Linked DNA regions of Callithrix jacchus. The protein of the gene in region 1 interacts with the protein of each later gene in a pairwise test. Links are inferred from orthologs where the notes say so. Each region holds a gene or a part of one and is shown in the gene's direction. Other genes may lie near its edges.

Region 1 (4,435 bases):
GGCCAAGATGGGAGAATTGCTTGAGCCCAGGAGATCAAGACTGCAGTGAGCTGTGATTGCACCACTGTGCCTAGGTGACAGAGTGAGACTCTCTCAAAAAAAAAAAAAAAAAAAAAAAATTAGCTGGGTGTGATGGCATGTGCTTGTGAGTCTTAGCTACTCAGGAAGCTGAGGCAGGATAATCGCTTATACCTAGGAGTTTGAGGGTACGGTGAAGAAAAATATATGAGCCACTGTGCTCCAACCTGAGTGACAGCAAGACTGTCTAGAAAAAAAGAGGAAGGAATTTGTGGCATCAGCAGTTTGGAGAAGAGGGGCACTGTTCTACAGTGAGAAGAAACATTCTGGGGTTGCCAGTCCTGATGGGGTCAGGGAGCAACTGTGGCAAGTATGTGAGGAGGCAAGTATGCAAGAAGCAGCAGCTGCTTCTGATTCCCCACTATCCTTCCATCCCAGGGCACGTCTGGGCTGTGGCACCACCCGTCAGAGCCATCGGTGTTATGTCTGCCTGTGGTCTTGACAGTGTGATATGATGGCGGTTGTCAGCTTCCCATTGGCTGGCCCCAGTTACTCTTTCTGGAGGGTTCAGAAACTCCTAAGGGTCTTCCAGTTGGTCGTTGCACACTGACAAGTGAAACACCGCCACATACCCTTCTTTCTGGTGCCTACTCAGTCACCTTTATGGAAACTTCCCTGAGGTGAGCATGGTGCTGGACTGATGCAGGGAAGTTCTACCTAGTCCTGCCCTGAAGAAAGTGACCCTGCGTGCATGTGTGAGAGTGAGCGGTTCAATACTAGGCCTCCTATCTCCAGAGCAGACAAGAGGGCTGGATTAGCCAGGCATGGTGGTGCGCACCTGTAGTCCCAGCCACTCAGAGGGCTGAGGCCAGAGGATTGCTTGAGGTCAACCCAGGAGGTCAGGGCTGCAGTGAGCCAAGATTGTGCCACTGCACTCCAGCCTGGGTGACAGAGTGACACCCTGTCTCTCCCCGCTCCTTCCTTTCCTCTTCCCCCCTCCCCTACCCCAGCCAAAAAAAGGGCTGGGAGTGACTGAGGGCTAAGAGCTCCCCAGGTATTAGGTCAAGAAAGCTTCCTGGAGGTGGAAACACATCACTGTGAACAGTTATACACTGTAGTGTTAGCTGTTTGTTGTCCATCAGTTTCTCCTAATCACAGAGGAAAGATAAGTTGAGTTCTGGTGGTCAGAATTCTGGATGAATAGAGGGTGCTTTGGCTGAAAAAGCAAATTAGCCGTAAACCAGTGGTGAAGCCAGTTTTGTTCCTGGGATGAGCTGCCTCTTGCCTGTGCCATTTCTGAGACTGTGTTAACCCCCCATGCCTTGTCCTTCTCTTGGCAGTAATCCAGTCCCTCATAGCACTGGTGAATGACCCCCAGCCCGAGCACCCACTTCGGGCTGACCTAGCTGAAGAATACTCTAAGGACCGTAAAAAATTCTGTAAGAATGCTGAAGAGTTTACAAAGAAATATGGGGAAAAGCGACCTGTGGACTAAAATCTGCCACGATTGGTTCCAGCAGGTGTGAGCAGAGACCCCGTGCAGTGCATTCAGACACCCCGCAAAGCAGGACTCTGTGGAAATTGACACGTGCCACCGCCTGGCGTTCGCTTGTGGCAGTTACTAACTTTCTACAGTTTTCTTAATCAAAAGTGGTCTAGGTAACCTGTAAAGAAAGGATTAAAAATTTAAGATGTTCTAGTTCTGCTCTCTTTGTTTTAAAAATCACTGCTTCAATCTACTTCAAAACAATGGTGTTTCTTTTCTTGTCCAATTTTATCCAAAATCTTCAAGTTACATTTAGCCCATAAGGTTTATAAAAAAAAAATTGTATACCCCTTCTTCCCTACCTTTGCCACTCCCACTTTCTGGCAGTTTATTTTTCACTTACTTACTTCCCCAGACCCGGGCTCCACCGCCTCCACAAAGGAGAAGAGACAGCCCTGGCGGTCCTGGTGGCTTTTTCTCACATGTGTGGGACTGTTGCCCAGTGTGGGAGCTGGTTTAAATTCTGATTCCAGTTTATAATATCCTTTTTAAAAATTTAAAAATAAGCAAACAGCTACACCCCTCATCCAGTCCTTCTCCCCAGTTCTTGTGTGAAACTCCAGCTGATGTTACCACAGTAACATCAGTTAATCGGGCAAGCCCTTGTGTCAGTGTGTGACTGACTTCTGGCCTGGCCTGCACAGAGAAACCGTATAATCACAGGTCTGTGGTGGCCCTAAAAGGGGGGGCCTGCTAGTCAGGAGGATGCTGTGCACACTGTGTGTGATGAATCTTGCCAGAGGGCTCCTGCGGTCCCAGGTTGGCACTCCTCTGGTCCCAGGTTGGCACTCCTCTCTGCAGCCATTTTAGAAGATCTGCTGGTCCTTGCAGGCAAAGCTACAGCCAGAATGTCCGTTTGAAATTCCCAGCTCATCTGTCACCGAGCTCCATCTGAATGTGCCACGGAGCTTGCTCTCCACTTCCTCTGTGCAGCGGCCCCGCCACAGCCCTCCCTTGGCACACTTTGACCCTTTGCAAGATTGGAATTGGCAGGACTCAGCTAGTTAAAGCACCAGTCTGGGGTTGCCGGGGCCCCTTCTGGCCCCTTCCTCCAGAGCAGCCGGCCCAGCCCAGGAACAAGATGGACTTCCCTCTCCCTTTGGACTCACAGCCTTTGCAGAGTCAAGCTCCACGTGAAGCTCACTCAGTAATATCCTTTCAATGTGTTTTATATTGTTTTGACTGCCTTTTTTTGTAGAAATAAAAATGACCTTAGAATTTATCATCAGATAAACTTGTAAAGATTTGAATATTAATGTCTTTTCAAGGCATACGGGACTGTCACCAAACTAGTAGAGAATCTGTGTTGTTCTGACACCCCAAGGAAGCCGACGATCCAAATGCCGTGTCTCACCAACCCCACTTCTGCTACTGACGGCTTCCCTTTGTGGCTTTTGGGGGGGACTAGATCCTGTGAATAAGATGACTTAATCTTTGCTTTTTGTTTTAATTTTAATTCTATAATTTGAGATCTTTCCAGGGCCTACAGGCCTGTAAGACAGCTTAGTCTGGCCTGTGCAGAAGTGGGGAGTGATGGGCAGGTTAGGCGGCCTAACATTGTTCAGTTGTCCAGGCGCATGGCCCCTGCGGTGTGTACGTGATCTCAGCTTCTTTTGTCCTAGGTACGCCAAGGGCAGGTTTCTGGAGACTCCGGTGTGCCCAGGATGGCAAGGGCACCGGACTGGGTTTTTCCACATCTGTCTCTTCATTAGCAGAAAAGTGATGATGGATTTTATTTCACTCACACTCCAATTTGTAATAAAATGCCAAATTCTGTCAGAAGCTATCCAAACAAGCCACCATTTGTTCTTGTTGCTTCTCTTGATCCAGAAATGTTGCCATTCTTGGAAACTGTCCCATTGCTTCATATTTCTGCCAATGTAGCTCTGCCTGCCTGTCAGCCCCTCACTTCACTCTGCTCACCACGGGTGGATACCTGCGTGCCGGCAGCCCCTCAGGGACTCTTCAGCCCTGGCACTGGCACCCCAGGGTTGGCCCCATTAGCAGAGGCCTGGCTTTTGAGCCAGTGGGTGTCTCTTCCTCGGGCCTGGGGGGCTTCCTCCTGCCAGCTGTGCCCTCAGGGTAGGCTCTGAGCAAGCTGGTGAACAGCCCTGGCTGCTCCAAAACCAAAAAGCTGGGTCCTCTGGAGGGGCGAGCTGTGGAGCAGCCACCCACCGCTGCCCCGAGCTCACTCAGGAATTCACACCCGCCTGGTTCCTTGAAGTGTGCCGGGTCCTTCCCTCTGCTCCCTACTCCCCACCACGGCAGAGAATAGGCTGTCTAAGATGCTGTGATCCCGTTCTGCTGCCCTTAATAAAAATGCTCTCAGACACTGGTTAGTCGTGTGGGTTTCTTCCTTCCTGGGAGTGGGCAGTGGCAGGGGCCTATGCTCTTGGAGATGGGAGATGGGAGGGCTGGCTAGGGCCAGGTCCTGGGACTGTTGATCTCTCTACCCATTCCCAGCCTCTCCAGAAGAGGTACCTAGAGGTGTTCCTGCCTCCCTAAAGGGAAGGAGATGAGGTATAATCAATGAGAAAAGCCAGGGAGTCTGGACAGTTGGGGTCTGCAGAGGGTGCTCTTGGGTGTCTTGTGAGGGGAGAGGGACTGCCATCCATGGGTGCAGCATTTCCATTCGTGGGTCATCCTGAAGCCCCCTGGGAGTGTTATAATCCATGTTGAGAAGAAGCAAACCTGGGATCCCAAGAGGTCACAGAATTAATAAGGGTGTGCCTGAGGGTAGGGCTGGGCCATTTCCATGAATGGTGCCAGCCAGAAACACTATGAGTCTCCAGTACAGCCCACTGCCAGGGCGCTGCAACAGTGGTGCTGACTCAGCACAGGGCTCAGCCAGGCCCAGGAGTTTTTTTGGCC
Region 2 (3,651 bases), on another chromosome or scaffold:
ATAGTAAGCATTTGTCTGACCTTTCCTGTCTCAGTGCTGCATTTAATGCTTTTGGTTCCTTATTATAAACAACAGATACCAAATATTTTTTATAACAATGCCACTTTCCTAAAGACATCTCATTTTCTAGCTGTGATAATTTTTTTAAATGATTTCAAGTTGGAGAAAGGAACATTTGCACTCAGGATGAGGTTCAGTCTCAACTTGTTGTTTCACACATTCCCTGCTTATTCCTAATATATTTTGAAACATTCGCAGAAAAGGGTAGATGGCTTTGAAACTAATTTCTGAATAATATGTACTTAACTTCTGATTTCATTCTAAGAAGATATTTGTAGGGATGGTTTGAAAGGTTTAGAAAGGAAAGCAGAGAATAAAAGACTCCCTTTCTCTGATGACTGTGGTATCAAAAACATCAAAGTTACATGAAATGGTGAAGATCTGAGGACTGGACATCTCCCTGAAAATTTACTTTACAGATCATTTTGAAAACACCAATTGTGTTCAGAAAGAGTGCCTACTTTTTATGAAGATAAAATTTTAAATGAGCTAGTAGGTATCAAAAGTAATGGTTTGATGTGTGTGGAGCTCAGAGAAAATATTTTGTGTGGTACAGGTCAACATAAACAGTGAAAGATTTCATTCTGTAGGATAAAGCATTTCCTTTTTTTTGACAGGATCTGTCACCCAAGCTGGAGTGCAGTGATGCAATCCCAGATCACTGCAACCTCTCCCTCCAGGGTTCAAGTGATTCTCCTGCCTCAGCCTCCTGAGCAGCTGGGATTACATGCGCGCGCCACCACACCCGGCTAATTTTTGTATTTTTAGTAGAGACAGGGGTCTCACCATGTTGGCCAGGCTGGTCTCGAACTCCTGGCCTCAACCGATCCGCCCACCTCGGCCTCCCAAAGTGCTGGGATTGCAGGTGCGCCATGGCCACCGGCCAGCATTTCCTTCAAAATTGAAAAGTTAGAATTTATAATTTTCTGAAGCATGCAGATTTTTAAAGAAAAGGAAACAAAAAGAAATAGATACTGCCCACTCCACTTCCTTGCCCCTCTTTCTGACAAGTGCCGTCCTGCCTTCCCACCTTTGCCCTCACTCTAAATTTTCCAGAAGGGTAGGACTTCAGGGGCTACATGGGCATTGGTGACTGTGCACATGCAAGGGGTAGGGGTGGGAATGCAGCGCAAAGTGACAGGTAGAAGGGAAGAGAAAGTAGAAAAGGCCAAAGCCAAGGCCTAGAGTGAGAGGAGGCGGTGGTGGAGGATAGTGCAGACTCTCCCTGGTAACCAGAGGAGAGCAAACTCCAACCGCAGAGCAGTGATGCCACTTGTGGGCCCTCAGATTGGAGAGGACAGAAGAGTGACAGAGCGGTGCGCTCTGGGGCACCTCACGCAGACGGGAGTAGGGAGGCTGCTTTTTGCGCGGGCATTTGGCGGCGGGGGTGGGGGAAAGGGGGGAGATCCTGCTGCACTGGCCGCCCAAGTTGAGGGGCGAGCTCAGCGGTGACGCGCGGCCCTCACGTGACCCAGAGCTGCAGAGCTACGCAGCCTTCGGTGCAGTCGTCACTCGCGTCTGGCTACCAGCTCCCCGCTGCCCTGCGCTCGGCGGGCTGGCATCCGGCCCGGGGAAAAGCGGAGCAGGTAAGATCCCCGGGGTCCGTGCACCCCGGCCTGGCCGGCAGCGGCTCACGGACCCCCGCGACGGGCGCAGAACAGCGCAGGGGGTCCCCGCCAGTTTTCTCCACACCCCAACATTCTTGGGAACATAGAGGCCACCTGGGGTGGGCAAGCTGGAGCGGCTGGGGTCCTAGGGGCAGCAGAGCAACCAAGAGCGAGGGAAAACCACCCCCGAGTTCCTGCAGGAAAACGTTGAACACCGCGGGGGGGTGGGGCGGCTGAGGGTGGGGGCGCGGAGTGCGGGACGCGGGGCGCTGGCCGCAAGGAAAGCCCGGGCCCGGGGCGGGGAAGGAGCTGGGTGGTGGATAATCCTTGCTAGCGTTCCGCTGCAGGAGCCCCCATCCCCCCACCCCTGCCCATCTGCAGGTCTGCGAGGCTAAGTGTCCCGGCGGCGCACCTCGGGGCGAGAATCCGGAGGAGGAGGAGACCGCAAGGATAGGCCCAGGTCGGTGCGAGGGACGGTGGTGGTGCGGGGGTCCGAGCGTGAGGAAAGCCCAGTCTGAGACCCCAGCCCTCTCCACCCCATCCCCCCACTCCTACACCCGTCCTCCATTTTGCTGCCTGCGAAGCTCTGAGAAAGAATCTTGGGAAAGGAAAAATGGTGGGTTTGGGGGAAGGGAGGTAAGGGGAGAAAGCTGGAGGGAGGGGCTCTAATTGGAGGCCCCCTAGAGGACGCACGGAACTTCTAAGGTGGGAAAATATGAAATTAAATCCTTTGATATCAGGGCTCTGAATCCTGCTGGTCAGTGTACCAAGCATTCAGTCTCTCTCCTTGCCTTTGTCTTACTTGTGTTCAAAGAAAAACAACCAGAAAAAAAAAATCTCATCATGGCAAATATTCACCAGGAAAACGAAGAGATGGAGCAGCCCATGCAGAATGGAGAGGAAGACCGCCCTTTGGGAGGAGGTGAAGGCCACCAGCCTGCAGGAAATCGACGGGCACAGGCTCGCCGACTTGCCCCTAATTTTCGATGGGCCATACCCAATAGGCAGGTCAATGATGGGATGGGTGGAGATGGAGATGATATGGAAATATTCATGGAGGAGATGAGAGAAATCAGGAGAAAACTTAGGGAGCTGCAGTTGAGGAATTGTCTGCGTATCCTTATGGGGGAGCTCTCGAATCACCACGACCATCATGATGAATTTTGCCTTATGCCTTGATTCCTGCCATTTATCATGAGATTAATACTGTGATTCTCGCTGTTTTCCTTTTCCTTGCATTTTCCTAATATGCCTTTACTGATCCGTTTGCTGTGAACCCTATGTTATTTCCATGTGTCAAGTGGGTCTTGTATTGCCAGCTTCTAATTGGAGATTGCCTTTGCACTCAGTCTAAGTTTCTGTCAGCAGTAGAGTTTCACCCATGTGCATGGAAAAATTTAAAGTTAATAAAGCAATTTAAAAAACAATCTATACATTTAGTATTGTCTCATTAAAAATGTATCCTTACATATAACAGATGAACTAAAAAAAAAATCTGAGATTAAATACACCAGAGTGTTAATTGGGGCATATTTTTCTATGGTAATTGTAATCCCAGCAATTTGGGAGGCCAAGGGTCGGATCACTGGGTCAGCAGATCAAGACAATCCTGGTTAACACAGTGAAACCCCATCTCTACTAAAAAAAAATACAAAAAATTAGTTGGGCGAGGTAGCCCACGCTTTTAGTCCCAGCTACTTAAGAGGCTGAGGCAGGAGAAATGCTTGAACTCAGGAGGCGGAGGTTGCAGTGAGCCTGAGCTGAGACTGTGCCACTGCACTCCAGCCTGGGCGACAGAGCAAGACTCTGTCTCAAAAAAAAAAAAAAAAAGGTATGTGACACTTTTTTTCTTTTATTATCTGGAGTTTGAGAAGCAATGAAAATTATTTTTAAATGAGATTATGAATGGATTATGAATGTAGTCCAGATACATAACAATACTGCCTCAACAAATTTGAAGAATAAACTTTATCTTTCACTCTTA
Region 3 (3,645 bases), on another chromosome or scaffold:
CAGTCCAGCAGGCAGACAGACCCACAGAGCAGCATTTCTAGCAAGGGAGGATGCCTGCTGTCCTGGAGGCGCAAGCCTGGGGCAGGGAGGCCAGGAGAAGGCATCCCCAGTTTCCTGGCAGGCTCAGGAAGGCTGGCAGCTTGTCTCTGCCCTTGTGCTGTTGTCATTGTCAATTGCCACCTCTGCAGCTGACTGTCCTCTTGGGGCCTCCTGGCAGCATACCCACTCCAGCTCTCCACTTCCCTCTGTTCAGTCACTGGACCTTTGCTCTTTCCAGTGGATAGACAGAGCAGTGCCTCCCCTGACCGGGCAGAGGGCCTGTGAGATGATGGGTGTTGGCCAGAGAGCCTCTGGGAACAGAAGTGTCATTGGGCCAAGTGGAAATCATGATTCAATCAGTGTTCTTGGTCACGGGGCCGCCCTGGTCCCCGTTCTCCTTGCGGGCATCACAGCCTCCTCTCCTTGCCCTGCACTCATTGTCCCGACCTCAGGTTCAGTGTCCACCAACATGATTGCTACTTGATTGATTGTCGTTGTGCCCATGCAGACAACTGTCGGAGGAAAATGCTAACCTCCAGGAATATGTTGAGAAGGAAACCCAGGAGAAGAAGAGATTGAGCCGAACCAACGAAGAGCTGCTTTGGAAGCTCCAAACCGGAGACCCAACCAGCCCCATTAAACTCTCGCCCACATCTCCCGTTTACCGCGGCTCCTCCTCGGGGCCCTCCTCTCCGGCCAGAGTCAGCATGACTCCCAGATGACGCCACCACGCGGCCTGCGGGAGCTCCGGCTTCTCGCCCTCCTGTCTCCACCCTGAGGGAGCACTGACCCGGTGCTGCCGGAGCTGGCCCTGCACGCATGCTTCAGTAGCTGCAAATGCATCCAAGGCGCGTCCTCCTCTGATCCCCGTGTAAGACTGCCCTGGTGTCAGCACTTAGGAACGTGTAAACGGTAAAGTCTGATGTGCAAACGTTTTACCATAGTTAGAGCCAAAAGAAAGACACTTGCAATTGTTCTTGAGCAATGAACTTTCACTGCAGTATTTCAGGTTAGTTACCAAAAGCTCAGTTTTCAATATACATTGAATAATCTTTGTGTACTGCACCGGTATGTGTGTATATTTAGATACACATATATACACATGCGGCGGTTCCGAATTGCATTTTTTATGAAGTGCTGACATATTTTAGTGAAGGTCAGCAGTTTTCTAACTTGTGCCTAAGAATTATTGGGAAATGAAAATGCATTTCTATCTAGCTTCCCAGGAATATTTCTACCCAAAATAGAAAAAGGAAAAAAAAAAGGATACAGAGAAGAAGCGCCTTTCAACTCACCACCAAGTGGTACTCTCTTTACACGAACACCAGCGATTTGTGAATGGTAACTGCCTTTGGAACAATCAGCTTCTTAGTCAACGTGATGTGAGGTCACCATTCTTCCATTCGCAAGTTTTAATTATTAATACGCCTGCCATGCGTGGATAAGGGAGAGCCGTGGGAAACCCTAAGGGGGATTAGCAGTTTTTCAGATGTGACTTATGACAGTGACTCATCTCCAATAGTCTTGTAAACAAGTTTTGCTTTTTTCCTAAATGGCATCTCAGACTCGGTCATTAAGCTACTGTTGCACCCCTGGGAAAACATGGCAGAGCATGACGTTTGAGTGAGAGTGAGGATGGCCTTGGAGATGACTGCGCCCGTTCACGCTCCATCCTCATGAAGGAAATTGCTGCTAGGGTCTGTATTTTGACCAGGCACAGAGTGGGACCGTCACGCCAGCTTTCCATGTGGTTCGCTCTGATGCAATGCTGTAAATGATCAACTTGTTGAAATATGACCCTCAGGCCCCCACTTCATAGCAGTCCCCTTTTCAATTTGGTTCTACAGCTCAACCCCTTCACTGCACATTGAGGTGGCTCAGGGGTTCTAGCAGGGGCGTCTGGGAAAAACACCATTTTCTGTCCCGGGGGACCAGTTCTGAGCTGTGCTAGATCATCACACCACCACCCAGAAACCCGCTTGCACTTCCTTCTATGTGATCAGGCAATGCTACCGCTGACTGTGCTGCCATCTTAGACCCAGAAGGTTCTCCCAGACAGAGGAGCGCAGTGAAGCAGCCAGCCAGGCGGCACCACATCCTGGACTGGCACCTGTCTCTAAAATGGTAGAATTAGGATGTAAACAGTACTCATGTAGTGGTGTGGAAGATTAGGAGCATGATACACAAAAGGAAGTAGTTTTAACACATATGGTGATGATGATGATGCCCTTGTTTCCTTGTGTATGACAAAGACCCTGCACTATCTCTCTGAGGCCCCCCAGAATTATCCTGAGCACAGGCCTGTCTTTGAGCATGTCCAAGATGAGAAGAACCATGAGAGGGTCCTACAGGGGCTGGAGCCATGGAGCAGGGAAGAAACAGCCCGAGGATGAGGTCGGCTTGTCCAGGGCACGCCTACTCGGCACATGTGTGGCCAGCACAAAGACAGACATGGTCCCTGGCCCTAGCATGAGTCCAAGCTGGGCTCCCGGGCCTCAGGTACATCTCCAGCAAGCCTCCAAGGGTCTTGTTCCTTCTGGGGACATACACAGTAAATCCACATGGAAGCACCATTTCTCTGCTTTAGTGGCTCTGCATGATACTGTGATATTGAGTTGGGCATTCCATTAGAGTAGATCATGCCACATTGACTAAGTACACAATTATTTATTCTTGTAGCAGCCACAACCTGCAAACACAAATTCGGTTACAGCTTAGCTGTCCGAATTAGGAACTGCTTACATAGCCGCACCTGCTAAATGCAGTTACACAGCAATACCGACTTCCGTGTGATGCTAGGACGTGGTACAGTGTGTTAGGCTGCTGTGGTCGGAGTTGTAGCATTGTTAGCACTAAGTAATTCCTCATTAGGTGGACTTTGCTGAGAGCTTTGCCCTAATCCGCCCTGACCTTGGGTACTTGGGCTAATTTCCACATGGCCCTGGCTTCATTTTCGTTTGTTTTTGTGTTTTGTTTTGTTTTTTTTGTCACGGACACCCATCATGTATGGCCCTTCATCTGAGCCATGGGGTGGCAGCTGCTATGCCTCCTCCTCGATTCTTCCATCCCTCCACGCCATCAGGATTAGGATTTCTCTCCACATGGCATCCGCCTCTGTCCCCTTCCAGGCTGGAGTGACGTTTCCACGTTTGGATGCTGCAGCCTCCGCACCTGCCTCAGACAGACCCACCAGATACCACCGGTCTCTTCGTGGCGTTTGGAGATGCGTGGGCGGCCTGCCCCCACCCCTGCCCCTGGCCACCACATGCTGGGACAAGGTTCTGGTCGAATGTCAGAACAGGTGGGGATGGGGGCGGCCCCAACCGTGATTAGTTGAATGAATGGGGTCACAACATCTTTTTTCCTGCCCCTATGGTTTGTGTTGCATATTTGTGTTTAACTCTAAAGCCTATTAAAGTAAACTCGAGGGACTTTCTGTGATACCTGCTTGATGTAACTGGAGACCTGTCCCTCTCATGCTGGGGATTCCAGGCAGGGAGGCAAGTGGGGGTGTTTGCAGGCTGGACTCCTTTTTTGTATGTGCCAGGGTCGAGTGCTCGTCCATGAAAGAAATCTGGAGCTCCCCTTTCCCAGACTCAGCAGGTC

What was found.
Region 2: the proteins of CCDC116 (region 1) and BEX3 interact in binary tests that used the Homo sapiens proteins (3 or more experiments, as listed by UniProt). The two-hybrid records come from large-scale screens. The link is inferred for Callithrix jacchus from reciprocal best matches to the Homo sapiens genes CCDC116 and BEX3.
Region 3: the proteins of CCDC116 (region 1) and MTUS2 interact in binary tests that used the Homo sapiens proteins (3 or more experiments, as listed by UniProt). The two-hybrid records come from large-scale screens. The link is inferred for Callithrix jacchus from reciprocal best matches to the Homo sapiens genes CCDC116 and MTUS2.

What each region holds. Positions count from the first base shown.
Region 1 is NC_133502.1:193,586,427-193,590,861, forward strand, and holds the start of CCDC116 (coiled-coil domain-containing protein 116), read left to right. Parts: upstream 1-1,513; 5' UTR 1,514-4,435. Other genes in the region: UBE2L3 (ubiquitin-conjugating enzyme E2 L3), read left to right, coding at 1,359-1,513.
Region 2 is NC_133524.1:99,447,139-99,450,789, forward strand, and holds BEX3 (protein BEX3), read left to right. Parts: upstream 1-1,570; 5' UTR 1,571-1,646; intron 1,647-2,048; 5' UTR 2,049-2,127; intron 2,128-2,481; 5' UTR 2,482-2,510; coding exon 2,511-2,846; 3' UTR 2,847-3,094; downstream 3,095-3,651. UniProt on the Homo sapiens protein: May be a signaling adapter molecule involved in NGFR/p75NTR-mediated apoptosis induced by NGF. Plays a role in zinc-triggered neuronal death.
Region 3 is NC_133506.1:148,710,522-148,714,166, forward strand, and holds the end of MTUS2 (microtubule-associated tumor suppressor candidate 2), read left to right. Parts: intron 1-547; coding exon 548-761; 3' UTR 762-3,470; downstream 3,471-3,645. UniProt on the Homo sapiens protein: Binds microtubules. Together with MAPRE1 may target the microtubule depolymerase KIF2C to the plus-end of microtubules. May regulate the dynamics of microtubules at their growing distal tip.